5 linked regions of the Sus scrofa genome follow. The protein of the gene in region 2 purifies or fractionates together with the protein of the main gene of each other region. This does not show direct contact. Links are inferred from orthologs where the notes say so. Each region holds a gene or a part of one and is shown on either strand. Other genes may lie near its edges. The genes, in order: SCFD1, USE1, RINT1, STX18 and BNIP1.

Region 1 (6,084 bases), on a different chromosome or scaffold from region 2:
TGACCTAGGCAGCTACAGCAACAATGCCAGATCCCCAATCTGCTGCATCACAAGAGAACTTCTTTTTTGTTACTTTTTAAATAAGCTATTAAACTAGGTTTTATGCTCTAAATAATGCAATGTAAAGCATAAAAACATATTGATGGATTACCTGAATATGTATTACCTGTACTTTAGGAAAATTTGGATTGCTTTCAAGACACTCAATTTTCAAGTTCTCATTTTGGCTGTTATTTCAAATTGCCAAACTTCTTCCAATATTGTGCTGGGTATTATGTTAGGTGATAATATGTCAGCCTAGTCCTTTTTTTTAAATTAAAAAAAAAGGCCTCAAATATAACATTTATAATGAAGTTTTCTAAATAAATATGTTTATGCTACTAAATGTGAAATGCTTATGTGAACTAAATTAAGTAACTTGTTAGGATTTAACAAGGTTTAGATTCTAAACAATACTAGGAAGATACAAGATCTTTTCCTCTACACATTTGAGAGATCCAGCAAGCAGTTGTTGGCTGACACCTAGGAAACTCTCTTGAATGAACTGAGGTTTTTTTGTGTTAAAACTGTCTATCCCCAATGTAAAATAATAGTTTGCCAAAATAAAAAAAATTTTTGAGCCAAAAATCTGGATAAGTTGAGTCAGTTAAAAGGTTAAGTTGGGTTAACTGACACTCTTTAACAGCTGTAGTTTCTTTCCTTATGTGTAATAATACATAATAAATACCTTAGTCTTAGCCTCACAGGAGCTATGTTTACTGCCACTGTTCTGTGGGACATATTTTTTTATACATTTGTTTGCCCACACTGTGCACTCTTTGGTCAAGACAGTTTTTATCATTTCAAATGTATATGCTGTATATAAACATTAAATATGTCTTATTTCATATCAGTATGACTCAAATTTTGGGAGGTCTATACTGGAGCTGAAATGGTTACATTATAGATTTGCACTTGAAAGTGGAAGCACCAAAATGAACAAGATTAGGCTCTCAGATGTTGAAGGTGGGAAAGCCTGTTTATTATATATTCCATGAAAACAAAAAATGAAGTAAAACTTTCACATAGCACAGGAACTCTCATTTCTGTTTAATTATAGCACACCTAGTTCATTGGTGATTCCTTCAAAATATTACTGATAACACTGAATAAAGCAGTAAATATTCCAGTTAATTTCTTATTGAATATGCCAATTAGCTGTAAAAATGATAGTGATTTTTCTGCTGTTTCCATGAGTTTTAACTTTAATATTTTAAATTCCACATGTATGAAACAGTAAAAAGCTTTCAGCTATAAGATGAATAAGGTGTGAGCATCTAATATATAACATGGTGACTATAGTTGATAACTGTTTTGTTTGCTTTTTAGGGCCGCACCTGCAGCATATGGAAGTTCCCAGGCTAGAGGTCAAATCAGAGCTGCAGCTCTTTGGCCACACAACACCGGATCCCAGCCATGTCTGTGACCTACACCACAGTTCACAGCAATGCCAGAACCTTAACTTACTGTGCAAGGCTAGGGATTGAACTCATTTAATCATGGCTATTAGTTGGCTTCATAACCAGCTGAGCCACAATGGGAACTCCTAGATATAACTATATTGTATACATGAAATTTGCTAAGAGGAGAAATCAGTATTTTTCACACACAAAGAAAAATATGTGAGTTGATAGATGTGATAGTTAACTAGATGGAGGGACATTATTTCATAATGTATGTGTATATATATCAAATTGTCACTGTACATTTCAAGGATCTTTCCACTTTTGTCAATTACACTCTCAATAAAGCTGAAAAAAATATGGAAGGAAAAAAAAATAGATTCAGTTCTAGGGTGTTCCCTGATGACATTAAGGTTATCAGTCTTAAGTTTCATAAAAACTTATTTGTGGAGTAGTGTTTTATTATAGATTTTGCTGTTTATGTAATTGTTAAACATAGTCTCAAAAATTTGAAAATTTAAGTTTTCAAACCAGTTTTTAAGGTACAGGGTCTGTAATTTCAGAATTTGGTGCAGCTTCAGAACAAACAATAGCTAATGCACAGAGTTGTGTGTCCATTTTTGACATCCAATAAAAAATCTATGGATTAGAAGTCATCAATATCGGATATATTTTGTTATCACATGGCTTTAAGCGTACATTAAGAAGACACCTGCACGTGAGGTTGAGAAATCTGCCAAATGAGAGCAATACACCAAAGCTGACCGTTTCCCTGGAAAGGGGAGCAAAAGGGAAACAAGCTGCGCTGGTAAAAAGAAAAGGGAGCTGGCATTTAAGTGCCGATTTTGTTCCAGGAGCTTCATTTACTTTAGTCCTGTGACCCTTAAGCCCCAGGAGTATTATCACACTTAAGAGATATGCAAACGACCAAACTAACAGTCAATATGTTCTTGGCACTACAACACGTTTCTACCCTAAGAGCTCAATTTAAGGCAGCTACTCTTTAAGAACCTGCGGCTTGATAGGATAAAAATTCCCACTGTTCCGCCTCCGAAAAGTAAACTGCCTAGGTGTCCAAAAATGATTCCCTCATTCTTTGTTCGGCAAGTTTTGTTGCTGAGGGTACGGAAGGGTCACCGTAGGGGAGGCGGGGCTCGGCCTTCTATGATCCCGCCCCTCCGGGCTTTGCTTCCGGGGCGGTCGGGGCGGCCACGTCATCCACAGGCTCCGCTTGCCAGCCGGGCAGTGAATGGTGGGAGTCAAGATGGCGGCGGCCGCGGCAGCAAGTATTCGCGAGAGACAAACAGGTACCGACTTATTCTCTTCTCTTCCCTGAGGTTTCATGCTTGCAGTGAGGACAAGCTTCCTATGCTTGTCGCCCTCACTCGGTCGCGGTGCGTGCAGCTCAGAGGTGGACCTTCAAAAGTTTAATCCTGTTCTCCGAGCATCGAGAGCCCCTCCCCTCTTGAGTTTTTAGGGAAGAGATTCCATTAGCTTGAAAACTCGGCCCTCGGAAGTGGTGCCAGAGAAGTGGCTTCTCGGGTGAGCAGGTTGCTACGGTCCTGTCCTGCACTTGTCGCTTTCCTACTGGACCTCAGAAGGCCTTTACGACAAGATTTAGCAGCTGGCATTTCCCCTCCCTGTGTTGCTGCCTATGAGGTCTTTCGGATTTGTTTCTGTGCATGGTTCAGTTTTCTCCCATTTCAATATTTAGAGTTGCATCTTCCGGCACTTCCACCACAATAACAAAATTTAAGTGTTCTTTTCAGAGCAGATTACATTCTGCCATTTCTCTCCTTTGGACCAATCTTTGGGGGTACCAGATGAGAAATGCTCAGTGTTAAAAGATTTCTGTCTTCAGCATGCTGGAATGAGGTATAAGAATGGCAAAATAAATGAATTAACCTTTCCCATTTTAATTATTTGGCAAATTAGTGTTCTTAAACTATGCGTTATTAGTTTCATGTTTAATAGAACGTAATTATATAGCTCCTGTGTATATTGTGAAATACGGTTTTAAAAAATACACATTCCTTCTCTTTGAGCTTTGGTATTTTTTCCATCTTAGATAATTTTAGTTTTGCCATATTTTTTGGAAACTTGTGATGACAACTTGGTTTATACCTGTTAGCTACAAACTAATGGATTATACCTGTTAGCTAATTGTCTCGAAAATTGGCAAACTGTTAATTCTGAGGAGCTAGTAGAAATAAGCCATCAAGAATATGCATATTTGGAAATTCTGTCTCTTGTAATTATGTTCTTTTGCATATAAATCTGTGTAGGAAAACAACTGATTACAATTAATATGGTCTATAGAAAGGATTTTGGCTATGCTTGATTCCTTCCTTTGGAATTCAAAGAAAAAATTAATGGTAGACCTTAATGTAGTAATGATACACAGTGCATAATGAGTTATGTTCTGCTTTCCACCAATGGATAATTTAGTGTAAACTATCAGATGAAGTCAGGCATAACTTAAATACATGAAAGTCCAAATAAAATTTGAGGAATACCTGCCATTCATTTTATTTGTATAAACAAATAGAAACCCCACTTGTCTTTGCAGTATGGTTCCAACATCTTACTGAACCTCAGTGAATTAGGTCATACTGCATATTAAAATAAAAAACATGTTAAGAAAGACTTTATGCCAATATAAAGGAGCTTTTTGAAAAATTAAATTTGTTAGTAATTTTTATATGCAGAAACTTTGTAGAATATTAAAATCTAATAGCACATAATTTGGATTTCTGCAGTAATAAATTTAATTGTAGCAATATTTCACATCATTACTACATAGGTTATTCCAGATTTATCAAATTAGTACTACAGTTGAGTTCTGTCTTATTTTGGGAGAAAGGCAGACATCTTTATATGTGCTGTAGTGGCAGAAGTAAACATTTGCCTGATGCCCATTGAGAATGTTTTGGAAAATAGATCACAGTTGATTCTTAAATATTCTAGATATAAGACTCTGGTACAAAGGAGTTTGCAGTCTATTTGGGTAGATAATAGCTGATATTTATTGAACATTTAGTATTGTCAGAGACTGTTTTAAGTGATTTTTACATGTATTTTTATCTCCATTTTCCAGGTAATTAAGTTATAGAAAGTTTAACTAGCCAGTTTTTTGCTTTGCCTGCCTGAAGAGTCTTTATTCATCTTTTAAAGTCACTTCAAAAATCATGTCTTTTGTTACAGTTTCCTGAAACACTCTAGTCTTATCCTTTAGTTCAACAGGCAGAATCCTATGTTACCGTTGTCATTCATGCATGCCTCTCTGTTGCAGGTTCTTGCTCAACTCTCCCATTTCTTAGAGGAGAACCCCAAATCAACTGCTTTCTCTCTTACAGTGATCTCATGTAGCTTCTTGGCTTTCAGTACTTTCTATATGCTATGATCCCCACGTTTATATTTCTAGCCTGGACCTCTCCTCAGACTCAGTCTACCCCATATCAAGTAATGACAACTCCATTCTTGTGGTTGTTCAGGTCAAAAACCTTGACACTTTCTTGACTTCTGTCATTTATATCTCACATCAGATCTGTCAGTAAATCTTGCCAGCTTTGCTCTGAAAATTCGCCTAGAATCTGACCTTTATCACACAGGTCCAAGCCACCATGAGTTTCTGCAGTAATCTCCTATTTGGTCTCCTTGCTTTTAAAACTCTGTTTCCCTTCATTTTTCTTCACATAGTATCCCAAGTGATCATGTTACATATTTGCTCAAAACTCTCTAGCACTTTAAGTCATTTATTAGTTTCCCTGTTTCAATCATGGTAAAAGCCAAAGCAATCTGACAGTGGTCTACAAGGCTCTGTATGATCTGCTCTCCACTTAACTTTCTGATTCAATCCCTTTTACTCTCCCCTTTCCTTGAACACACCAGAGTGCTCCACTTCAGAGCCTTTTTGTGTTCTTTCTGGAATACTCTTTCAGAGATATCTGCATGGCTCACTCCGTCACCTCCTGTAGGTCATTATTCAAATGTTACCTTCTCAGGAGGCCTCTCCTGACTACTTAAGTTAAAATTCACAACTCCCTCTTCCTCCTTCCTCCCCTGTTTTCCTTCATAGCACTTATCATGATCTCACGTATCATATGTTTTACTATTTTGTTGTCTTTCTCCCCCAGCTAGAATGACAGTTACTTGAAGATAGGTCACTTTTATTCAGTCCATTTTGTTTAGTACCAACAGCTAGAGCTATGTCTGGCAGGTGGCAAACACTCACTAAACATTTGCTGAGTGATAGTACGTGTAGTTGAATATATAGTGAGCAAAGAAAAAACATTCCAGGTGAGGGTGAAAGTACATTAGCCAAGTCTAGGTGTGTATGGTATATTTAATCATTTCAGTTAAAAGCAATAATTTAAGCCTTTAGAGAGTTACTCTAATGTAAAATAATGTAAAATTACATTCTTAAAGATTCTTTTTTTCTCTTTTTAAGGCTGCACCTGTGGCATATGGCAGTTCCCAGGCCAGGAGCTGAATTGGAGCTGCAGCTGTGACCTACTCCACAGCCAGGGCAACACTGGATCCAAGCCACATCTATGACCTATGCTGCATGCAGCTTGTGGCAACACCGGATCTTTAACCCACTGAGTGAGGCCAGGAATTGAACCCACATCCTCACAGACAC
Region 2 (5,941 bases):
CTCCAGCCGCTCAGATTCTGTCTTTAGCTTCTCTAGATTCTGGTCAGCCATCTTGAGTGAGTGTGACAGGGTCTGCGGGTGAGTTGGGGAGAATGTCAGGACTGGGTCCAAGTGTGGCCTCTTCCTACCACACTGGAGCAAATCTATAGCTCTTGGCCCTTGCTAGTGCTGTTTCCTCTGCTGGGAATGCCATTTTTGCCTTCTACCAAACTCCTACTCAGCTAGCCAAGCCCCAACCATAGTGCCCCTCTGCTGGAAAGCCTTCTCTGATGCCCAAGGTAGAGGTTTTAGAGTTGCCATAGTCCTCATACCTGGTTATCCTTCTTGATGACACTCTGGGCAGCCAGTGTGTTGGTCTTGAGGCTCCGGGCCAGGCCTAGCATCTCCTCTGCCAACTTTTCCTGGAGGTCCTGGTGTCGCTGCAGGACAAGGTCTAGCTCTGCTGCTGACTGCTTCTCATCCTCTGGCCTGGGCCCTGCTGCCCCACTGACCATACAGATGGGGGGACAGGTGGGTATGAGATGGGGAGGGGGTATGAAGAGACAGACATGTTCTCAAAGAATCTAGAGGTTCTATGCCACTGCCCTGCTTCCCCTTTTTGCTTTGGTTTCTGGGAAGAGCATCCTCAGAGGTGGCTTTTGATTGATGGTTAAATTAATTGATTAATTAATTTGGGGGCGGGGCACATCTGTGGCATATGAAAGTTCCTGGGCCAGGGATTGAATCTGAGCCAGAGCTGCCACCTACACTGCAGCTGTGGCAATCCCAGATCCTTAACCCACTGCACCAGGCCAGGGATTGAACCCTCATCCCTGATGCTGAAGAGACACCAACAATACTATTGTGCCACAGTGGGAACTCCTGACTGCTGGTTTAGACACTTGTGGCAGCGCCTCAGTGGCCCAAGGACTGTCCAGATCCCCTGCCCCCAGTGCTGCTCAAGGGGCTGAAGATACTCACGTTCTCTTTCTCACATTCAGTTCAGGCTCTGGAAACAAAAGAGGCCAAGCAGGAAGAAGGAGAAAATTGGTTTGCTGTTTTCCAACTACCTGACCATTGCTTGGGATGTCTGCTGCTCCTAGTGACATTTTTCATCTTGTCTGCTACCCAGGTGGCCCCTATCAGGCTTCAAAGCGCTCCCTTCCAGGAAATTTTCATCCTTTGGGCTCCCCCAGGCCCCAGGCCCTTCCCTCTAGCCAGTTCTGGACCCTTGGGCTGGGAGTGTCCAACTCTGTCTCCTCTGGGGGCCCCTCCTCTGTCCTGCCACCCCCTCCAGGAGTAAATTGCTAATGTTCCTGGGACACTCTCCCTGGGCTGTGGAAGCCAGGTTAGGCATGAGGGATGTGGGGCAGCAAGGATACATGTCTGTCCCAGGCCTTGAGTCCTGTTCTGCTCACATTGACTCACCTTCAGTAGAGTCCTGTGGGAAAAAAGGAGAGGCACCAAGTCACCCACCTTCTCATGTCCCAAGACCTGTCCTTTCTGCTTTGAGAAACTCCCCACTCTCAGTCCTGTGACATCTCATCCTCAGTTTCCTCATATATCACCTGGTAACAACGGCTAATATTTGAAGGGTTAGTTGATCCGCATAAAGTGTTTATAGAGACATTTGCCATCCTCTTTTTAAATTTTATTTATTTATGGAGTTCCCGTCATGGCACAGTGGAAACGAATATGACTAGGAACCATGAGGTTGAGGGTTTGATCCCTGGCCTTGCTCAGTGGAGTAAGGATACATCGTTGCTGTGAGCTGTGGTGCAGGTTGCAGATGTGGCTTGGATTTGGCATTGCTGTGGCTATGGCGCAGGCCGGCAGCTATAGCTCTGACTGGACCCCTAGTCTGGGAACCATATGCCGCAGGTGCGGCCCTAAAAAGAAAATAATAATTAAAAAAAATAAATTTTACTTATTTATTTTAATGGCCACACCTGTGACATGTGGAAATTCTTGGGTCAGGGATTGAATCTGAGCTCCAGAGCAGTAAAGGCCAGATCCTTTAACCCACTGGGCTGGGCTAGGGATCGAACTGGCGCATCCAAAGTGACTTCAGTCAATGAAGTCAGATCCTTAACTCACTCCGTCACAGCGGGAACTCCTTGTCATCCTGTTTTACAGATGGAAAAAAACTCATTTCCCTGTGGGTAGGCAGGAGCTAAACTTTGCTCTGGGTTAACTCTGGGGCTTAACTGGAGATGTGCCATTTATTTTTGGCTGCACCTGCAGCGTGTGAACGTTCTGGGGCTAGGGATTGAACCTGCCCCTCAGCAGTGACAACACCGGATCCTTAACTTGCTGCACCACCTGACAACTCCAGAGATGTGCCATTTTTTGCCTTGTAACAAATGCTTACTCATCTAGCAAAGCCCTGGCCACAATGCCTCTCTGTTTGGAAGTCTTGTCTGATGGTCCAGGGCAGAGGCTGTTGGGCTCCCTAGGATCCCTACACCTGATAGTATTTGTTGTTCTGATTACCACCAGGCACTAAACTCCTGTCCCCAACTGAAGCTTCCCAGGGACCAGACAGGGAGCCCTACCGTGCCTAGCAGCTCACTCCGCATCTCACTGGTGTACCGTGCCCGTGACTGTAGGTGCACTGTCTTTGTGGCTGGTACCCGTTCCCTGGCCGTAGTTGGCACTCGGCCAGGGGCCAGGAACTGGTTGGCTAGTGCCTTCTCTGAGGAGGAGGTCTGCAGAAGAGGGAAGAGGGGTTACCAGGGGGCAGGTCCCAGGTGAGCATGAGGAAGGTTGAGGAGGCTGAGGTGCCCCTGCTCACCAGCTTCTCTGCCTGCAGCATCCCCTTCAGAAAATCTACTTTGCGAGAATATTCATTGATCACCTCGGACGCCGGTTTGCTGGAAGGCGAGAAGAGGAAAAAGAAAATATGTCCACTGTCCCCAGTTCAGGGAAGGGTCTTATCAGGGACTGGAGACCAGGAATCCTGGACTCTAGTTCTCGCCCAGTATTTGAACCACCTGTGGCCACCTGCACTCACCTCGCCTGCGCTTTCAGGGCCTGCAGCATGTCTTCAAGGGCTCCCACGTACTGGGGACAAAAAGGGGGGTGTCAGCCCAGTCTCCCTCACCCCTGCAGGGTCTACTCAAAGGGGTCAGACCCAACAAGGGGCGGGACCAAGATGGGGGCGGGGTTGGAAAACGGGAGGAGCCAAGTGTCAAGGAGGGGAAGCTGAGCCCCAGGGAGGAGCCGGAGGAGATGCAGGTGGACGTGGCGGAGACAACCGGAAGGGGTGTGGCCAGATTGGCAGGCGGGGCCTGGGAGTCGGTCCGGTGGCCTCTACCTGCGGGAATCACCCTCCGGATTCGGGCTCTAAGCGGAAGATGGGCTTCCCTCACCTTTTCTAAACGCCACTCGTCCGGGTCCCGTTTCTCTGCTGCCATCGCCTCGCAGCGGCACAAGAGCCGCACCAGGTTCAGCTCCAGCCTTGACGCTGCCATCGCCACCCAGCGGCACTCCGCCCCTTCCGCCGGCGCCATCTTAATAGGTGGCGGAAGTTCCTTCCGTTAGTCTCCTTCCGGGCGGAAGTGCCCTGCTCGTTTGGTGTCCCATTCTTGTTTGGGGAGGCCGAAGTGATGTTTTGTTTCAACTGAGACGCCATCCCCTTTATATTTACTCAGTGCTGAATTGCTTGCTTATCCTTGTGTGCCATGCCCGCTGGCATGTGGAAGCTCCTGAGCCAGGGATCGAACCTGCGCCACAGCAGCCAGCGCGGCCGCTGCAATGAACGCAGGATCCTTAACTCACTGCACCACAAGGCAACTACCTCTGGTGAGCATCTTGACCCTTCTAGAAGGGTCGAAAGGATAGTCCTTCCTGTCAGGCCCATATGCAACCCGTGAAGTGCTCATTACTTCTCTCCTGCTCAAAATCCCCCGCTCCCCACTCCTTTCTGGGTTCTTTCACTGGCCTCTTCCACACAGGCAGCGCTCCCTGGACTCTCCCAGGGCAGAGGCCCTGAGCTGGGGTTTTAGCATCCAAGACTTGGGAACCGATCCGAACTTTTGCGGCTATGATTTCACCCAGCCTTGACTCTGACTCCACCTCCCACCATGGCCTAGTGAGTTTCTTAACTTTTTCTAGACCTCCCTTGGGAAACAGGCAGTGTGGCAACGACATGAGCTAGTCCTGGTTGTGAGAGGTGGGGTCAGGTCACCCCTAGTGCCCAGATCCCCATGGTTGGAACCCCGTCTGAGTTCCCAGGAAGCCAAAGCTCCTTGTTTGAGTCCCCCTCCTGGAGTGGACTGGGTGAGGATGGGGGCTTCACAGGGACTGAAGCCCAGCACGCAGCTCTCAACCACCTCCCCATCCCTCAGGTCATCACCTGTGGGCCTGGTATCCTGTAAAGTACCGTGGAGGAGACCAAAATCAGGGTATTGGTAAAAGGAGGCAGACAGGGCAGGGTCTGAATCCCAGCCCTACCCTTTCCCAGCTTTGTGGCCTTGAACAAGCCCTCTAACCCTTTGGCATGTGTCATCTCAACTCAGGTTTGTCATGGTCTCCAACTCCCCTACCCCACTGGCCCCACCTGCCAGCTGGTTCCCACAACTACCCATCTGGTTGCAAACTGGGACCTCCTCTGCTGGGGGTGGTGGTGTGGTGAAGGTGTTGCTTCTGGTTCTAGTGGGTTCCCAGGGACTGACCCCGCCTCCTTTTCAACCCAGGGCAGATGGCCCTTTCAGCTGACATGTAAGCCCCACCTGGGGAGAGGCTAGATGTGACAAGAAGCAGCTCCCAGGACAGCAAGCTCACCTCACATTCAGTGAGAATGCGGCTCTGCCAGGAGTTGCCTGCTTCCCCAGCTTCCTGGATCAATAAAAAGCACCTCCAGCAAAGTCCACCTCCCTTGTGTGAAGAGTATGTGTGAAATTTCAGTAGCAAAGTTGGATGGAGGAACAAGGCAGGTCCTTTCAGGTGAGGCGCCCAATCCCCTGCCCTGCACCACTCTTGACAGGCCATAGAGCTGACTCCCATCTACTGACCTCTGCTTTTCCAACCTGGAGCTGGCCTAAGTAGGAACTACATGCAGACACCTCTCAGGCACTTTTTTTTTATTTCACATGGCTTGCAGATGCCTCTTGTCCCAGACCTGTGGCCATGTGTCCAGGTATCTGGAGAGTGAGCTGAGCCTAAGAAGAGAGCCTCGCTCCAGAGATGCCAGCTGCCCAGGCTGTCGCCGTAGACTTGCAGGGACGTACAACCCTAGGCCTTGCCCTCCCCACCCATGATCAGTCCTGAGTTGCGGGCTCTTGTTCTGCCACAGGGGGCGGGCAGTGCCAAGGGCGGCCTACTCCAGCCTCCTGGGTCCAAGGCACAGTGAACAGAGGAGCGATGGCCACATTCGAGACTCCCTGGGATGTGAGGTCTGTGGTGCCTGGAGTGGAGGCCGCCTACTGCCTGGCTCCAGCCAACAATCGATCACCATGGAAGGTTCCACTGCTCCCTCGAATGCATGTCAGCCAGGCTGGCGTACGAATCTGAGATAGACTTGGGGCAGTCGTGTGCCTCAAGTGTCCAAATCCCTTAGGCAGGGTCCCAGCCCTTGGTCTGCCCCGAGCTGTGCTTCAGCATTGGGTCTGAGCCTCCAAAGCTTGGCGGCTGTGTGGGCTTTGCTCTGAAGACTCATGTCCAGGTTATAAGGGAGATGCAGGGCGTTAATACAAAAGTTTGTACATACACATATAAAAAACCGATTTGGTCCTCTGTTAAGGCTGTTACAGTTTAAAGTTATGTAAACCACGCACAAAGAAAACAGTGACCTCAAAAACATATAAAAGGGAAGTTGGGAGACGCCAGGCTGCCCACCGTGATTTGGTGCTCTGGGCGGGCACCTCTGTGCGACGTGGGGGCTCAGCAAGGGTGGCCGGGTCTCAGCCGGCCTCTCCCTGCCTGGACTCACTTGGAGCCAGTGCCCACCTCACGTCGCTCT
Region 3 (5,332 bases), on a different chromosome or scaffold from region 2:
CAGTGGCGACAGCTTCAATTAGACCCCTAGCCTGGGAACCTCCATATGCTGTGGGAGCAGCTCAAGAAAAGGTAAAAAGACAAAAAAAAAATTAGGATGGCATTACAACATTTTTGTGTACTATGAAATTATTTACTTGTAAAAACACTTTATGGAGCTCCTGTTGTAGCTCAGCAGTTAATGAACCCTATTAGCATCGACGAGGATGCGGCTTCAATCCATGGCCTCGCTCATTGGGTTAAGGATCCAGTGTTGCCATGAGCTGTGGTGTGGGTCCCAGATGCGGCTGGGATCCCGCGTTGCTGTGGCTGTGGCATAGGCTGGCCGCTACGGCTCCGATTAGAGCCCTAGCCTGGGAACTTCCATATGCTATAGGTGTGGCCCTTAAAAAAAAAAAAAAAAAAAAAAAAAAAAACACTTTATAAGTCGTTGTAGGAGTTCCCATAGTGTCTATGAGGATATGGATTCAATCCCTGGCCCTGCTCAGTGGGTTATGGATCCAGTGTAGCCACAAGCTGCAGCATAGGCTGCAGTTGCAGCTCGAATCTGGCATTGCTGTGGCTATGGTGTAGGCCTCATTTGTGGCTCCAACTGGACCCTTAGCCCAGGAACATCCATATGCTACAGGTGTGGCCATTAAAAAAAAAGTTGTTGTATGAGGAGTTCCCTTGTAGTGCAGCAGGTTGAGGATTCAGCATTGTCACTGCAGCAGCTCTGGTCACTGCTGTGGCACAGGTTTTGTGGTTGTTTTTTTTGGCTTTTTAGGGCCAAACTTGCAGCATATGGAGGTTCCCAGGCTAGTGGTCCAATTGGAGCTGAAGCCACTGGCCTATGCCACAGGCACAGCAATGAGGGATCCAAGCTGCATCTGTGACCTACACCACAGCTCACAGTAATGCCAGATCCTTAACCCACTGATCAAGGCCAGGGATCGAACCCACATCCTCATGGATCCTAGTCGGGATCGCTAACCACTGAGGCACAAAGGGAACTCCCAGGAACTTTGTGTTTTACATAACCTGTAAAACATCTAGCACATTGTAGGCCCTTAAAATCTATTAAGCCGTTTTAAATGATTAGACTATTTGTCATAATCTACATCTTCAAAATTGCCCAGATAATAATGGTTATATATACGTTACATTAGTTATAATAAGTATACTACTGATATCGTTTCAATGAGTTTTAATACTTGCCTGTTCTTCTAATTGCATTTTACTTTCTGTCATCTGTTCTATGAGTTTATCAAGTTTCTTTAAAGATTTAAGGTCATTTCCAACTTCCTTTTCTATAAATGCTGACACATAGGAAGGGAGATCACCATTATCAGTGCCTTCACAGACTTGTTCATTTCCAGTGAGAGCTGTAATATTTATTTCACCTAAAATGAAAGAGTAACAATTAGTCAACACTACTATTATGGAGTTAAAGGAACTACAAAAGACATACAAGATATACTTTCAAAATTAATAATTTGAAGAAAACACTACATATGGCATTTTTGTTTAAATATACAGAACTTGTGTTATATGTATATATACACATACACAAAAATAGCCAATAGTGTGCATAAGTGTATATGAATATATGTATATACACACCCTCCCTCTTTTTCTTTCTATATGCAGTCAGCCCTCCAAATCCACAGGCCATTTCATGGATTCGACCAACCACAGATAAAAAATAGTAATAGAAAATTCCAAAAGCAAAATGAATTTGCCATGCTCCAGTAACTGTTTACGTAGCATTTACATTGATTGTACAACTATTGCTATTATTAGCATTAGGTACTTTAAGTAATTCCTAGAGAGGATTTAAAGCATACAGAGTTTGTGTACAGGTTATATGCAAATACCGTGCCATTTTATATAAAGGACTTGAGCATCCAGGCATTTTGGCGTCTGCTGGAGTCCTGGAACAATGCCCCAAAGATACCAAGGGATGACTGGCATACACATACCCAAATACCTAAATGAATAGACTTAAAGCAATCTATCACTCAAGAACTACTACAAAATGCTTAAGAGCTAGGAGATTCAGAGTGAAAGAAAAATTACCTAACTCTTGGAGTTCCCATGGTGGCGCAGTGGTTAACGAATCCGACTAGGAACCATGAGGTTGCAGGTTTGATCCCTGGCCTTGCTCAGTGGGTTTAGGATCCAGCGTTGCCATGAGCTATGGTGTAGGTTGCAGACGCAGCTCGGATCCCGGGTGGCTGTGGCTCTGGTGTAGGCTGGCGACTACAGCTCCAATTAGAACCCTAGCCTGGGAACCTCCATATGCTGAGCGTGCAGCCCTAGAAATGGCAAAAAGACAAAAAAAAAAAACAACAACAACAACAAAAAAAACCTAACTCTGTCCTAGTAACCACAGGTTTCAATAAATGTTGGTACAACAATGCAGTTACAAACAGATATTAAATTTTTCCAACCCGCATGTTCGTTGCAGCACTATTCACAATAGCCAAGACATGGAAACAACCCAAATGGCCATCAACAGACGATTAGATTAGGAAGACATGGTATATATATACACAATGAAATACTACTCAGCCGTAAAAAAGAACAAAATAATGCCATTTGCAGCAACATGGATGGAACTAGAGACTCAGTATACTAAGTCAGAAAGACAAACGCCATACAATATCACTTATATCTGGAATCTAATACACAGCAGAAATGAACCATCCCACAGAAAAGAAAATCATGGACTGGCAGACTAGACTTGTCATTGCCAGGGGGAGGGGGAGGGGGAGGGAATGGGATGGATTGGGAGCTTGGGGTTAATAGATGCAAACTATTGCTTTTGGAATAGATTAGTAGTGAGATCCTGCTATGTAGCACTGAGAACTATGTCCAGTCACTTATGATGGAGCATGATAATGGGAGAAAAAAGAATGTATACATGTATGTATAACTAGGTCACCATGCTGTACAGTAGGAAAAAAAAAATGTATTGGGGAAATAATAAAAAAAAAAATTAAAAAAAAATTTTTCCAGACAACTGTAGATCTTAAAAATCTTATTATTTTATTATTGGGGGACAAAGGTCAAATCTAGTTCTACTGATGCAGCTTTTATTAAATTAGTAATATATTTTTAAAATTTTTAAGGAATTAGGTATTCTACAACACCAAAAAAGAACTCTAGTTTTAAAATGTTTTTTAAAAAGAAAAAAAAAATGGTATTGAAAGATTTCAAGTGTATGGAAAAAATATGAAAGGGTGACCAAACTCCTTATATAAAAGAGTTTTAAAAGTTGACTGTACAAAGACATCCATTTCAGAAACAGGAAAAAAAAGAAAATATGACAGAAAACACAAATTACTAGGCAAAAACTCAATGGCTACTGCAAACAATAAATTGTACAATCTAAAGTGAGATTCTTGGAGTTCCCGTTGTGGCTCAGTGATTAACGAATCCAATTAGGAACCATGAGGTTGCAGGGTCAATCCCTGGCCTCTCTCAGTGGGTCAAGGATCTGGCATTGCTGTGAGCTGTGGTTAGGTTGCAGATGAGGCTCGGATCCCATGTTGCTGTGGCTCTGGTGTAGGCCAGCAGCTACAACTCCAATTGGACCCCTAGCGTGGGAACCTCCATATGCCATGGGTGTGGCCCTAAATAGACAAAAGACAGATAAATATTTTTAGAGTTCCCACTGTAGCCCAGTGGTAACGAATCCAACTAGTCCATGAGGATGCAGGTTTGATCTCTGGCCTTGCTCAGTGGGCTAAGGATCCGGCATTGCCTTGAGCTTTGGTGTAGGTTGCAGACGCGGCTTGGATCCCACGTTGCTGTTGCTGTGGCTATGGTGTAGGCAAGCAGGTACAGCTTCAACTTGACCCCTAGCCTTCGAACTCCCATATGCCATGGGGAGGTCCCAAAAAACAAAAGAAATGAAGGAAGGAAGGAAGGGAGAAAGGGAAAGGTTCCACAGCAAAGAAACTAGAGTTGGGCCAATTCACACTGGACTTACTAAATGTGACAAAAACAGGTGATGTGGAACCTCCTTAAGAAGAATGGTAAGGGAGTTCCCACTGTGGCGCAATGGAAACAAATCCGACTAGTAATCATGAGGTTTCGGGTTCAATCCCTGGCCTAACTCAGGGGATTAAGGATCTGGCGTTGCTGTAGCTGTGGCATAGGCTGGCGGCTACAGCTCCAATTTGACCCCTAACCTGGGAATTTTCATATGCTGCAGGTGCAGCTCTTTTTCAACAGCCCCCCCCCCAAAAAATGGCACAAATGAACCTATACACAGAACAGAAACAGACTCACAGACCATAGAGAACAGACTTGTGCTTGCCAAGGAGGAGAGGGAGGGAGTGGGATAGACTGGGAGTTTTGGGTTAGTAGATGCAAACTGTTACACTTAGAATGGAAAAGAAATAAGGTCCTACTGTATAGGAATGTATAACTGGGTCATTTTCCTGTAAGACAGAAAGTGGCACTATACTTTAAAAAATAAAAAAGTAAAAATTATATTCTTTTGATTTAACCATTTAAATGTAGCATAGTACAGTCTTAGTCAAATGACATTCTTCAAAATGACACACTGCTGATGGCGTAGGGGTGATGTCTCTTTTCCTGTTTTTTGTAAGGAGCACTTCTAATTGCAAAGAAGTTGACCAAGCCACCAAAGGAAGGTCAAGGACAAAGTCCACAGCTTAATGGCATCAACTTCCCAAACATATGAGTGGGGCAAAGGTAGAAAAATAAAGTGTTGGGAGTTCCCATCGTGGCGCAGTGGTTAACGAATCCGACTAGGAACCATGAGGTTGCGGGTTCGGTCCCTGGCCTTGCTCAGTGGGTTAACGATCCGGCGTTGCCGTGAGCTGTGGTGTAGGTTGCACACGCGGCTCGGATCCCGAGTTGCTGTGGCTCTGGCGTAGGCCGGTGGCTGCAGCTCTGATTAGACCCCTAGCCTGGGAACCTCCATATGCCGAGGGAGCGGCCCAAAGAAATAGCAAAAAGACAAAAAAAAAAAAAAAAAGAAAAAGAAAGTGTTTAATTGAGAGAGGTACAGGAGGTACTCTCAAATCCTTTAAGGAAAAGGAGCTGAGTTGTGGCAGCTGTGACTGGCAAGCACTATGAAGTAGTTAAAGCTTTCTTTCTGAGGCAGACTGTAGCAGGAGGCAATGTTAAGGGCAGGTCTAACCCCTAAAACTAATATGGTAACTTAGGCACCCTTTCTATTACTATTCATTCCCAGGCTATGTGCCACGGCCAGAAGAACCAAAACACTCTGATGAAACAGCTGTTACATGCTTCCCTCTTCCTCTCCCAGTAAATTTCCCTCCAAAGGCCCCTGAATATTCCTTGATTTCCACCAG
Region 4 (5,332 bases), on a different chromosome or scaffold from region 2:
CCATGTACGGGCTGTTCACTTAGCTTGTCTAAGCAGAAATGGGGGCCTTGTGAGGGACAGAGAGAAGCCCCGCAGTGGCTCCTCTGGGGTCTGGCTGCTCCCTCCCCAAAGGGTCAGCCCCACAGAAGGCCAGTGGCCACAGCCCAGACAAGTAGGTCGCCAGCCTCCGGTGAACGCACTCGGGGCCTATCGCCTGGCAGTGCCAGGGGGCATTCTCAAGGCAAGGCCGGCCTTCACAGGTGCTGAAACTCCATGGGGAGCCCACCCCCGCAAAAGATGGCGCGCCCTGGCGTTGTACCCGCACAGCCCCGGGGACTTAGAGAGCAGGCGTCTCCCTCTGACAGCTGCCCAGCTCTCTGCGGCCTCTGCCCTCCCCGCCCTGTCCCACCTCACGCCTCTTGCCAGTTCTCCTCTCCTTCCGTCACCGGGTCTGGGGGACTCGGAGGCCTTAGGGACACAGCTGGGAGCCGTCTCTGCTCCCTGCACTAGACACGCACCACCCCAGCGCCCCTGAAACAGGCAGCAGCCTGGCCCCGGATGGGACATTTTCAGCCGAATCAGAGGAGGTTTTTCCCAACAGGGAGTTGGTTCGAGGGCTGAATGTCCTTCTTCCCCTGACCTGCTGAGCAGCAGCAAAGCCCAGTGGTCACCCTATTCTGACTGTGGAATCCGCACTGTGTGTCACTGTGGTGGCCGGGACAGGGCTCAGCAGTAGAGGAGACTTTGTCACCGGGCACAGCCTCAGGCACCGACTCTGGAGGCAGGGGCCCTGGGTCAGCGCGTGCGCGGGGAGGGGCGGGCTTCCAGACAGTCCAGTGCCTCCGCCAAGCTGAGTGACATTAACGGGGAGCCAGTGTGCAGCGGGAACCTCCCTCTGCCTGTGTCCTTCCCGGAGCCTGACTGTCCCTCCCCCCCTCCCTCGTGGATGACGAGGTCCCCTCCCCCCTTCATGGATGACATGCTCCCTCCCCCCTCGTGGATGACGTGGTCCCCTCCCTCTTAGCTGACATGGCGGGAGTCCCCTCTTCATGCCTTAGAAACTGCCACTTAGACACTTTCTTCAGAAATGTGTGACATTGCTGTTAAGATCACCAAGTCCTAATAGGTAACGTGTAATCTGTTTTTTATGAAGGCAAATCGAAGGCAAAGTGGTTGAAATTTCCAGACTCCAGGAGATATTCACAGAGAAGGTTTTACAACAGGTAAGAAAAAAAAAAAAGTTGTTTTCGGTTTCAGCTTCAAGGGGGGAATAGACTAAGAACTTGGGACATTTCTCCTGGATTGTGGAGTCCCTGAAGCTGTGTGCCCGCAGCCTCACCTTCCCCGGGCAGCCTCCGCAAGCTGGGAAGGGCTGGGGAGCTGCTAGATTGGTCCCGGATGTGCTCAGGACACTGGGGAGCCTCTCTGAGCCCCAGCCTTTTCGTCTATAAAGTGGAGTGACCCTTGCACAGTTGTCATAGGTTCAGAGATGGCCCCTGGGGAACGCCCAGCACAGTGCCGGATGGGGGTGGCTTTCCAGTCGGCGGTGTTCCAGGCTCAGGTTCGGCCCTCTCGGCATGGCCTGTGCGCACAGGAGGCGCGACTGATCTCGTGAGAGCGTCTCCCTGTCGTTTCTACCTGCCTGCAGCTCTGAAGTTCTGCCTGCCCCTCACTGGCAAGACTTTTAGACACCTGGCAAAGTCTCCCTTTTGTTTTTGGCATCCGCAGACTGGAAGGGTTTGAAAGACAAAATCCCTTTCCTCCACCGAGTTCAGGTGGGCTCCTTGGCTGACGATGCCCCACTCACGAAATCTCCCCGAGCCACCAGCCAGGTCCCTGCGCACTGCGTACACGGGATGGTTCAGGCTCACAGGACCTGCCCCTTGGACTAGCTCGTTGCAGGAACCATTCCAGCGTGTATATGCTAAGCCTCTGCTCAGGAGCCGACACAGGAACGGCTTGGATGCCTTCTCCTCGGAGCCCCCTGCTGTCGGCAGAGGCAGTTCACGCGGCGGGAAGAGCTCAGAGCCCAGATGGAGGCAGACAGGCAGCCCCAGCCGCGTGACCTGCGGCTCCCCTGAGCCCCATGCCCTCTGCACATCGGGGGCCAAGGTCCCCTGGTCGCTCTCTGGGGGTGGTCCATAGGAAGTGCCCCGCCTACCACAGGCTCTGTTTGGGTCGGTTTGTTTCTAGGTGTGGCAGTGGCAGCCGGGGTGCTGCACTGCCCTCCTAGCACAGCGGGGAGCCTCAGCGTGGCAGTGCTTTGTGCAGGAAAATGCCCCAAGGCCTCAGGGCCCTAAAGGCAGTGAAAACTCACGGTCCTGCACTAGCCCACCCGCAGGGGAGCACTGACCACTGTTCACATCTGATTCTTGGTTAGCGGGCTGGTTCTACATTGAGTTCTAGAGAGTTCCAGACTGTGCTGGAGTGGGTGGAGCTGGGAGCACAGCTCCACCCTGTGACACCCAGGGCCCGGGGCAGGACCTGGAGGGACCTACAGGGCGCTAGCTGAGCCTTCCCCGCCCCAGGAGTCTCTGAGTCCTGAGAGCAGTTGCACGTCCACGTTGCAGACGGGTCCCTACCCGCCGCGCATGTGGTCAGCTGGCTCCCACTTGGAGACACTCCAAGAAAGCGTGACTGCAGAGAGCAGAGCCGTCCCTGGCCCTTCATCCTTAGCCTGTGTCACACTCACTGCTGGGAATCAGGCGGCTAGAGGTGGCTCTCCTCTGCGGCCTGTACCCGTCGGGTGTCCCTAAAGCCCAGGCTCAGGGCGGTCCCACTCTCAGACCTGGCGGGTCCCCGCCTGTGCGGGGATCAGCCACACGTGCCTGTGCGAGACCAGAATCTCAGACTCAGCTTTCCAGGTGGTTGGAGTTGAAGGTTTTTTGCAGACAGCCTGCATCCCATTTGGACTTAAGTTTTTGCTTTTTTTTTGAGATAAAATGGTGAAACACAAAGCACCACTCTGAAGCTGGCACGCGCTTAGAAGGCCCTGGCGTGTGGTGGCTGCTCTGTGACCGCAGCGTTTGCTTGTTCCTTACCGCTGGGGAGTGGGCGGGAAGGGGGGAAGCGGAGGGAGCCCCGCACCGCCCCCATCGCAGCCCCACCACCTGGGTGCTGCGTGCCTTGGGCAGAGCGTCCGTCTCCCTTTGGTGAACGGGAGTCTCCTATCTCTCGGGGTGCTGTGGGAGCCTGGATTCACGCGTGTGGAGCCCTGGCCCCCAGGAAGCGGCGGCTTCTGTTCTTGTTGAGACACACTCAGGGCAGGGGCGGCGGGTGTGTTTATCTGCCACCCTTTCCTCCGCAGGAAGCCGAGATTGACAGCATCCACCAGCTGGTAGTGGGAGCCACCGAGAACATCAAGGAGGGCAACGAAGACATCAGGGAGGTGGGTGCTCCGTCCCGTCCCCACCGTCCTGCGGAGGGGCCCTCGGGGGCGCAGGGTCGCCCACAGCAAGGGGGAGGCCAGCTCCCTACATCCAGGCTGGAGAGGCCTGTTGGACCCGCATCCGCGGTCCTCCGAGCAGGTTGATGCGGGGCCATACTGGGGCCACCCCTGCCATCGCACGGCTGGGAAGCTCCAGCCGAGGAGCGGACTCGTGCTCTGAGCCTGCCTGTGTGGTTTCAACCCTGGGGTGGCATCGAGCCATCGCTCCTGGGGGATTGGTGGGAGATCTCCACATGAAGACCGGCCAGCAAGGGAAAGCCAGCCCCCTCGTCCTCCGACAGATTTTACACCCACTCTCTGGTAGGGCCGCGCGGGGGCGCGCAACACACGCGGCGGCCAGGCCCCGTGTAAGAGTCCCTCCCCCCCCCCCAGGCCATCAAGAACAACGCCGGCTTCCGCGTGTGGGTGCTCTTCTTCCTGGTGATGTGCTCCTTCTCCCTGCTCTTCCTCGACTGGTACGACAGCTAGGCCGCCACTCCCGCCAGACGGGAGCCCCAGCATCGCAGCCACGCGGACTCTCTAGGGACACCTGGACCTGTGGGCTTGAGCCCATTAGTAGCTGAAAAAGAATCTACGCAATTGAACGCGGTCTGCGTGGTGGTCCTGCGGCCGGACGGGAGGGGGGAGGGCGGCCATTCCTACACCTGCGGGGCGCGGGGACGGCAGGCCTCTCCCCCGGCACCGCCGCCTTGGGCTCCACCCTCCCGGAGGCCGCAGGGAGACTGCTGGCCCGCAGCCCTGCTCGGCGGAGGACGTTTGTTTGCTGCGGCTTCTTGTCTGCCCGGGCAGCTGATACGCAGCCTTGCTGTGCTGGAGCCGACAGCCCACCCTTGCCTTGTTAGCCCAGGAGATGCAGTTAGAGCACCGCCTGTACCGCTGGTAAGTCCAAGTGCAGAAAGTCCCTGCACCCCACCTGCCTCCGGTCGGGAAAGATATGGGGGATGGGGCCGGGGGACGCGGCTCCCCCGAGAACTGCCTCCCCCCACCACCGTCCTGACCAGAGGGCAGGGCCTGACTTCGTGCCACTGGGGCCCATGGAGCTCTTGGCCGGAGAAGGACCTGGGCCTGAGGCACCGGCGGCCACGCGTGTGCAGAAAACAGCTGGTGTTGGGGACCCCACAGCCGGGGAGCGGGGGCTCTACACAGACGGTCCCAGGGCGCCGCAGCGATCCTTGTGTTCTTTGTTAAGAGAGTGAAAGTGTCAGAAGTTACATGGGGATGAGTTTACAGCCGGTGAAATACACATCTACTGGAAAGTACAAACAGTTGCCTTGGTGCTGGATTTCCATGGGCTGGAAACTGGGATAGATGCTCTCTCTGCAGAGTCACTGCTCTTCGTACATCCCCACAGCTTCCCAGCATCCTTCACAGCTGAGACTCTAGGGTGCACCCACGGCCCCGAGGCCAAGGTCCTTGTTTCCAGACACCCCTGATGTCACCTGCACAGTATGTTTTGGAAGCAGGAAGGGAGTTGGCCGCGACCACCATGCTTACTCACAACAGATCTCGCACTGTTTGTCATTTATTTTTTGATCTAAAAAAACAGTGAAACTTGACATGTCCCCCAGAAACACCACATTCAAATGACATGGAAGAGAATGCCCGTCAATGTCTTTTCTCTATTTAATTGTCTCACACACGTCGTTTATCTAACTGGCGATGTTGTAAACATACACTTTAATGTCAAGAGTCAGGCTGAGACATAGCTGTCTTACGAAGAGGGTGAATGAAAATCTCCTAACTGGACTTGCAGGTGCCACACCAGCCCCCATCCTGGCCTCTCCTGCCTGTGTTTCAAATCAGTTACATCTGTCCCACAAAAGACAAGTTAAAGTAGTCCTGGCTTACCAGCAGTTACACGAAAGTATTCATAACAGACACGACTAAAAGGGCCGGTGGGTTTCA
Region 5 (6,045 bases), on a different chromosome or scaffold from region 2:
AAGATGCGGGTTTGATCCCTGGCCTCACTCAGTGGGTTAAGGATCCAGTGTTGCCATGTGCTATGGTGTAGATCAAAGATGTGGCTTGGATCCCATGTTGCTGTGGCATAGGCCGGCAGCTATAGCTCCAATTTGACTCCTAGCCTGGGAACTTACATATGCCGCAGGTACAGCCCCAAAAAGCAAAAAAAAAAAAAAGGATAAGGAAACTTCCTAATACTGACATGGAAAGATCTACAATATATATTGTTAAGTTTTAAAAAATTAAAATGATTAAATCAGTACTAGAGATGGAGGCGGAAAGAGACCAGCTAGGTTCAGTGACATTGCTGACAACCTAGAGTGACCTCCTTTGACAAAAACTGCATACTGGCAAAACTGCCCTTGAAAATCCCTTAGAAAGCAACACAGGACATGGACATTCTGTTTCTCAGGGTCCAAACTGCCAGTTTTTCAAGTATCTTTGGAACAGACTGTCTTCTTCTGTTAAGCAACAAGGGCTGGCATTTGGGACCAGGTCAGATAAAAAGCACAAGTCTCTAAATCCAGCATCACATGGATGGAGACCAGGTGCCCCAAGACCCGCCCAGGGATGGACAGACCCATGCTACCAGCTTACCCTCACTCAGGGCACAGCACAGAAACACCTACTTTCCTTGCTCTAATGATTTTGGAAACAGCACATATACCCTAGTTGAATTCAAGACTGTTACATAAGCATATGATGCGACTAGAGACACAGAAACAGAGAGGAAGAGGCCAAAGTGACAGTATGAAAAAAAAAACCATTACCAGATAATTGTAATGAATTGAGGTGGATGGGTTAGAGAGAGGGGTAGAGAAAAGAAAGTTAATTCAAGTGATCTCTGAGTCTTCAAGTTGAAAAATTCCAAGGACAATGAATGCTGCCCAGTCTCAGCATCCCTGCTCTGCGGACACTTACCTGTATTCTGTGCCGCAACTGTTGAAATTTTTCTTTCACTTTAGTATTCAGTTCCGTAAGTGCACTTAAGGGTCCTGAACAATCTCGAATATCCTAGGAAAAAGTGAAGAGATGAGGGAGCCTTTCTCAAGGCAATGAAATGAAACGACACCAGCTGTACCGTGAGAGAGTTGGCTTAGGTCACAACTAAGTTTGGCCTACTAACTGAAATTCATCCTGATCTTTGATGTTTACCTCTACAACACAAGCAAAAACAATGTAATTTACATTTTTCTCATCCCGCTTTAGATAACTTCTCAGCAAGTAACATAAAAGCACAGATAGAAACACAACTCTATCTTGACCTATTAGTTCCTGAAGTTTACCAAAACTCCATTCAGCCATTATGAAAGACTTAAAGCAACTTGTGACAGGAATGGACATCTAAAAGACAGACTGTAGCTTTACTTTAATGGTGGGGGGCACTCCTATGGCATATGGAGGTTCCCAGGCTAGGGGTCCAATGGGAGCTACAGCTGCCAGCCTACGCCCACAGTCACAGCAACAGAGGATCTGAGCAGCGTCTGTGACCTACAGCACAGCTCACAGCAACGCCAGATCCTTAACCCACTGAGTGAGGCCAGGGATTGAACTCACAACCTCATGGTTCCTAGTCGGATTCATTTCCACTGCGCTACAATGGGAACTCTGACGTATTATAACATTAGACTGTAATGTTACATGGTTCCAACTTAAAAGTCAGGATGCGGAGTTCCCGTCGTGGCGCAGTGGTTAACGAATCCGACTAGGAACCATGAGGTTACGGGTTTGGTCCCTGCCCTTGCTCAGTGAGTTAACGATCCGGCGTTGCCGTGAGCTGTGGTGTAGGATGCAGACGCGGCTCGGATCCCATGTTGCTGTGGCTCTGGCATAGGCCGGTGGCTACAGCTCCGATTGGACCTCTAGCCTGGGAACCTCCATATGCCGCGGGAGCGGCCCAAAGAAATAGCAAAAAGACCAAAAAAAAAGTCAGGATGCTAATATTTGGCATTATATGACAAGATTAACTTCTTGATCTAATTTTATAAACCCTCTATTGTAAGTCACTGTTTATAAACATGCTCAAAGATAGATTTAGAATTTGCTTCTGGACATTCAGAATTTCCAGGGCCAGGTTTTAAAGCAGGCCCTAGGATATATTATGTACATTCAAATTCTGGTTGTAGCAATTATAAGCTGTTTTATTTTACCTTGAAAAAGTTACTGAGTCCTATGTGCCTTAGTTTCCTCATCCCAACATTACCTACTTCATAGATCAGGTATGTAGTAAAGGGTTTAGCAGAGGAGTTGGAACACAGTAAGAATGCGCTAACTCTAGCTATGATCAACTGTTCTCATCACAAGAACAAAGAGAGCTAGAGAGTGCCCAAAAGGGCTTAAGCAATATAGATTATGTGAAAAGACAGTTTCGTTTGTTTTATGACTCCTCAACTTATTTTTCTAAAATTGGCCCAGAGGTTTGTAGTTTATACATCGGAAACATGAAGTTCAAGAGTTTAACTGTTTGCATCAAGTTGCCTCACTTGTTCTATGGATTATGCATTAAATCACACTTCTTTGCTCCATATAATAAACTATTAATTTGGTTTATTTTGCATTTGGCTTCTGTGGGGAGCCTTATTTTCCTCCACCTTTTACCACAGTTGGCTGCAAATTCTCAGTCTACATCCAACGTTTAGTAACGTTTGTTGTAAATGGAAACGATCTGCCTCAAATGAAGATTTTAAACTCTTGGTTTCCTTTTGCTAAACTCAAGTAACCATTTCTACATTCCTAACTCTTGCCTATGCCAAGGGGTTTATTGTTATCTTCTACCCTCAAACGGCCTAAAACAAAGGACCTCAATTACCCCATCTGTTAAACGAAGTAGACTCAAGTCTTTTTTCTATACTGACTTTCCCTGTCCGACCCCAGTTTTGCCATTATCTGCCCTCTGACCCAGGCCTTGGCCCTTGACTCGATTTCCTAATTTACAAATCACAACGTCCAGGTTACGTTCACTTCATCCAGTGCCTCCCGCGCCAAGGGGCCTTTGGTGACCCGGGACATCAGACCCACGGAACTGGCCACAGGGGCCGGGGTTAACGGCCCCCAGGACTCTACCAAAGGATGGAAAGGGCGGTGTCAGAAGGCAGGGCCAAGCAGGATGACAGGTAAATTGGAGACTGGGGCAGGGCGAGGAAACGGCCGGAGTGGGGCAGGGGCCACAAAAAGGTAGCCAGGCCTGAGGCGGAGGCTGGGGAAGGGAGAGGGAGAGGAGAGGCCTTGGAGAGGGCGAGCCAACGGGAGCCGGAAGAAGGATCAAGGAGAAGAGTCCAGGGGATGAAGGGAACGGGACCAAAAGGGGAGCAGCTAGGAAAAGGGGGCGGGGCCAGCGACCTCGGAGACTTGACCAGATGGGGAAAGCTCAGCAGTGAGACCGCCGAGCTGAAAGAAAACCAAAACCACTTGGGTTTCGGGCCGCTGGTCCCCATTGGGGGTCCTGGGAATTAGTACCTGAATAAGCGCCTTCACTTCCAGGTCGAATTTAACAATCTCTTGGTTACAGATCCGTACGTGGACATCCTGGGGAGCCGCCATGTTGGGGAATGCTGACTACGGACAGCCGCGGGGCCCAAGTTCCAACGCGTTTTCTCCCGGCCTCCCTTCCTTCCCGGCCGGGCCTTGGGGCAGCGCCCCCTAAAGACCGGCCTGCGGCGAGCGAGGGCGGCGGCGCAGTGGTGGGGACTTTCCCTGACACGTGGGCGCGCACTCAGTCGGCCTGTTGGTGTGGATCTAGTTAAGAGAGAGAGAGAGAGAGAGAGAGAGCGAGAGCGAGAGCGAGAGCCGAGGGTATTATCGAGAACGCTTTAACGGTGATCCCTCCGCATACTCCGCCCATCAGCCACTCTAAAGAATGCGGGGTTTTTTGCATGGGGGCGGGGGGTGGGGGGAACCGCTGGAAGAAAAGTATCAACTGGGATATCTCTGAAAGGTATAATTAACAATTGTTTACACTTTTTTAAACTTTCTTGTATTTTCATATTTTCTACAGTGAATATAAATTGTGGAATGAAAGAAAAAAATGACAAACGTTGTTACACTTTTTTAAATATACGAAATTCAAGGCAAGTCCCTAGGGAATCTTCTGTTAGTCCAGCTTGAGTGCTAGGGATCTTTGCGTCTAAAATGCGCAACTGGTAAGTCACATTCCAGTTTATACCCCTTCTCTGCTCCTGGCGGTTCCCTTTTGTGTACAATTAGATTTATTAAATAATTTACCTGGCTGGAGTAGTTTTGATGGAAATAACAACCTGGCTGTTGTCTCTCTCTCAACAGACAGAGAGTCTTTCACTTTATTTTTCTTATAAAATAGTCCAAGTTTCTTAACTTGGCCCTCAAGACCATCAGCTACCCCACCCAGCGCCCCCGCCCCCCTTGCATTCTTCAAGCTCTTTTTGGGTCCGTAGTTGTGGGGTTTTTGTTTTGTTTTTTGGGTGGTTTCTCTTTGGCTGTGCCTGGGACATGTGGAAGTTCCTGGGCCAGGGATTGAACCTTTGCCGGAGCAGCAACCCCAGCCATTGCAGTGACAGTGCTGGATGCTTAACACCCTGAGCAAATGGGAAGTCTGGATCTGTAGTTGTGGAATGTGCTTTTCTCCTTCTTAGAATGCTTTTCCCCACTTGCCCTCACCCCATTCACCTTTGTTCTGCAATCATAGACTGGGAAAAACTGAGTGTCAGCTGTTGCCCTTTAGCCTCACAACCACCCTTGAAATAGGTAATAACCCAGTTTCACAGTTCGGGAGTTGGACTAAGGCCAGATCAAAACAAAACAAAAAACGAGTTCCCGTCGTGGCTCAGTGGTTAACGAATCCGACTAGGAACCATGAGGTTTTGAATTTGATCTCTGGCTTTGCTCTGTGGGTTAAGGATCTGGCATTGCAGTGGGCTGTTGTGTAGGTCGCAGACGAGGCTCAGATCTGGTGTTGCTGTGGCTCTGGTGTAGGCTGCGGTCTGGGAACCGATGAGGGGTCCAGTTAGACCTCTACCCTGGGAACCTCCACATGCCGTGGGTACGGCCCTAGAAAAGACAAAAAAGACAAAAACAGAACAAAACATCCTTGCCCCAAGGTTGCCCAAATTAAAAGTGGCAGAGCCTTAAGTGAAAGCCCTATCTTCCTTCCCTCAAAAACCAAATATGGCCCCTTGAATAGTGTCGAATAAGGGGGGAGCTGCGTGCTCCCACATCTGTATTCCTCCAGTGTTCCACACCCCCTCCCTCCAGGCCTTCATTATTCCACTGCATCTAATAGAGAGGCCACGTGAGGGTTAAGGCAGGCTTCCCCTCTCGGTACTTCAGCCTCCTCAGAGGCTAGCTGGTGGAGATCACAGCTACATGAAGTCATACATAAAAAGCACCAAGCACAATGTAGTAATGTGGCACATGCTAAGAATGCAAAGCACATTGGCCGCTATTATTATATTACTGACATTTGTGGCACTCTTCCCTTGTGCCAGGAACTTTATATGAAGTGCTTTATGTGTATCATTCTTTCACAACAGCCCTGAGGTAGAATTATCCACTTCCTACAGATAAAGAAACAGGCACAGAGAGAATAATGACTTGCCCAGCGCAATGGAATGGCTAGGTCGAAGGTTACATGCATTTCAAAATTCTAATACATACAACTGCATTGCTTTTCTTAGAGGTTATATCAATTTACACTCCCACCAGCGATGTGGTATGAACGCCCGCTTTCTCATGGCCTCACCCACATGGTGTGATAACAAACACTGGGATTTTTGCCAATTGGATCAAGTGAAAAATGCCACCTTTTAATTTGCATTTCTCTTATCATGAATAAGGTTGAGAACTATTTGTATTTACTGTTTTTCTATTAGGTTGTTGGTCTTTTGCCTATCCATTCCCAGGAGCTCTTTATTCATTAGGAGGATTTGTTCCTACAGATAAGCTTTGCCTCTTTTTTTTTTTTTTTTTTTTGTCTTTTTGCTATTTCTTTGGGCTGCTCCCACGGCACATGGAGGTTCCCAGGCTAGGGGTCTAATCGGAGCTGTAGCCGC

Evidence for each region.
Region 1: the proteins of USE1 (region 2) and SCFD1 purify together in Homo sapiens (affinity purification with mass spectrometry; 3 studies listed by BioGRID and IntAct, counting the BioPlex papers as one, with this or other methods). This does not show direct contact. The link is inferred for Sus scrofa from reciprocal best matches to the Homo sapiens genes USE1 and SCFD1.
Region 3: the proteins of USE1 (region 2) and RINT1 purify together in Homo sapiens (co-immunoprecipitation; 3 studies listed by BioGRID and IntAct, counting the BioPlex papers as one, with this or other methods). This does not show direct contact. The link is inferred for Sus scrofa from reciprocal best matches to the Homo sapiens genes USE1 and RINT1.
Region 4: the proteins of USE1 (region 2) and STX18 purify together in Homo sapiens (co-immunoprecipitation; 4 studies listed by BioGRID and IntAct, counting the BioPlex papers as one, with this or other methods). This does not show direct contact. The link is inferred for Sus scrofa from reciprocal best matches to the Homo sapiens genes USE1 and STX18.
Region 5: the proteins of USE1 (region 2) and BNIP1 purify together in Homo sapiens (co-immunoprecipitation; 4 studies listed by BioGRID and IntAct, counting the BioPlex papers as one, with this or other methods). This does not show direct contact. The link is inferred for Sus scrofa from reciprocal best matches to the Homo sapiens genes USE1 and BNIP1.

Annotation. Positions count from the first base shown.
Region 1 is NC_010449.5:68,847,583-68,853,666, reverse strand, and holds the start of SCFD1 (sec1 family domain-containing protein 1), read left to right. Parts: upstream 1-2,611; 5' UTR 2,612-2,691; coding exon 2,692-2,749; intron 2,750-6,084. UniProt on the Homo sapiens protein: Plays a role in SNARE-pin assembly and Golgi-to-ER retrograde transport via its interaction with COG4. Involved in vesicular transport between the endoplasmic reticulum and the Golgi.
Region 2 is NC_010444.4:60,450,557-60,456,497, forward strand, and holds the start of USE1 (vesicle transport protein USE1), read right to left. Parts: upstream 3,515-5,941; 5' UTR 3,492-3,514; coding exon 3,351-3,491; intron 3,043-3,350; coding exon 2,993-3,042; intron 2,853-2,992; coding exon 2,774-2,852; intron 2,688-2,773; coding exon 2,535-2,687; intron 1,421-2,534; coding exon 1,408-1,420; intron 989-1,407; coding exon 961-988; intron 487-960; coding exon 312-486; intron 73-311; coding exon 1-72.
Region 3 is NC_010451.4:105,394,525-105,399,856, reverse strand, and holds part of RINT1 (RAD50-interacting protein 1), read right to left. Parts: intron 1,382-5,332; coding exon 1,197-1,381; intron 1-1,196. UniProt on the Homo sapiens protein: Involved in regulation of membrane traffic between the Golgi and the endoplasmic reticulum (ER); the function is proposed to depend on its association in the NRZ complex which is believed to play a role in SNARE assembly at the ER.
Region 4 is NC_010450.4:5,995,123-6,000,454, forward strand, and holds the end of STX18 (syntaxin-18), read left to right. Parts: intron 1-1,132; coding exon 1,133-1,202; intron 1,203-3,286; coding exon 3,287-3,367; intron 3,368-3,799; coding exon 3,800-3,895; 3' UTR 3,896-4,690; downstream 4,691-5,332. UniProt on the Homo sapiens protein: Syntaxin that may be involved in targeting and fusion of Golgi-derived retrograde transport vesicles with the ER.
Region 5 is NC_010458.4:51,136,553-51,142,597, forward strand, and holds the start of BNIP1 (vesicle transport protein SEC20), read right to left. Parts: upstream 3,838-6,045; 5' UTR 3,563-3,837; coding exon 3,479-3,562; intron 3,136-3,478; exon of another isoform or gene 1,894-3,135; intron 1,037-1,893; coding exon 944-1,036; intron 1-943. UniProt on the Homo sapiens protein: As part of a SNARE complex may be involved in endoplasmic reticulum membranes fusion and be required for the maintenance of endoplasmic reticulum organization. Also plays a role in apoptosis.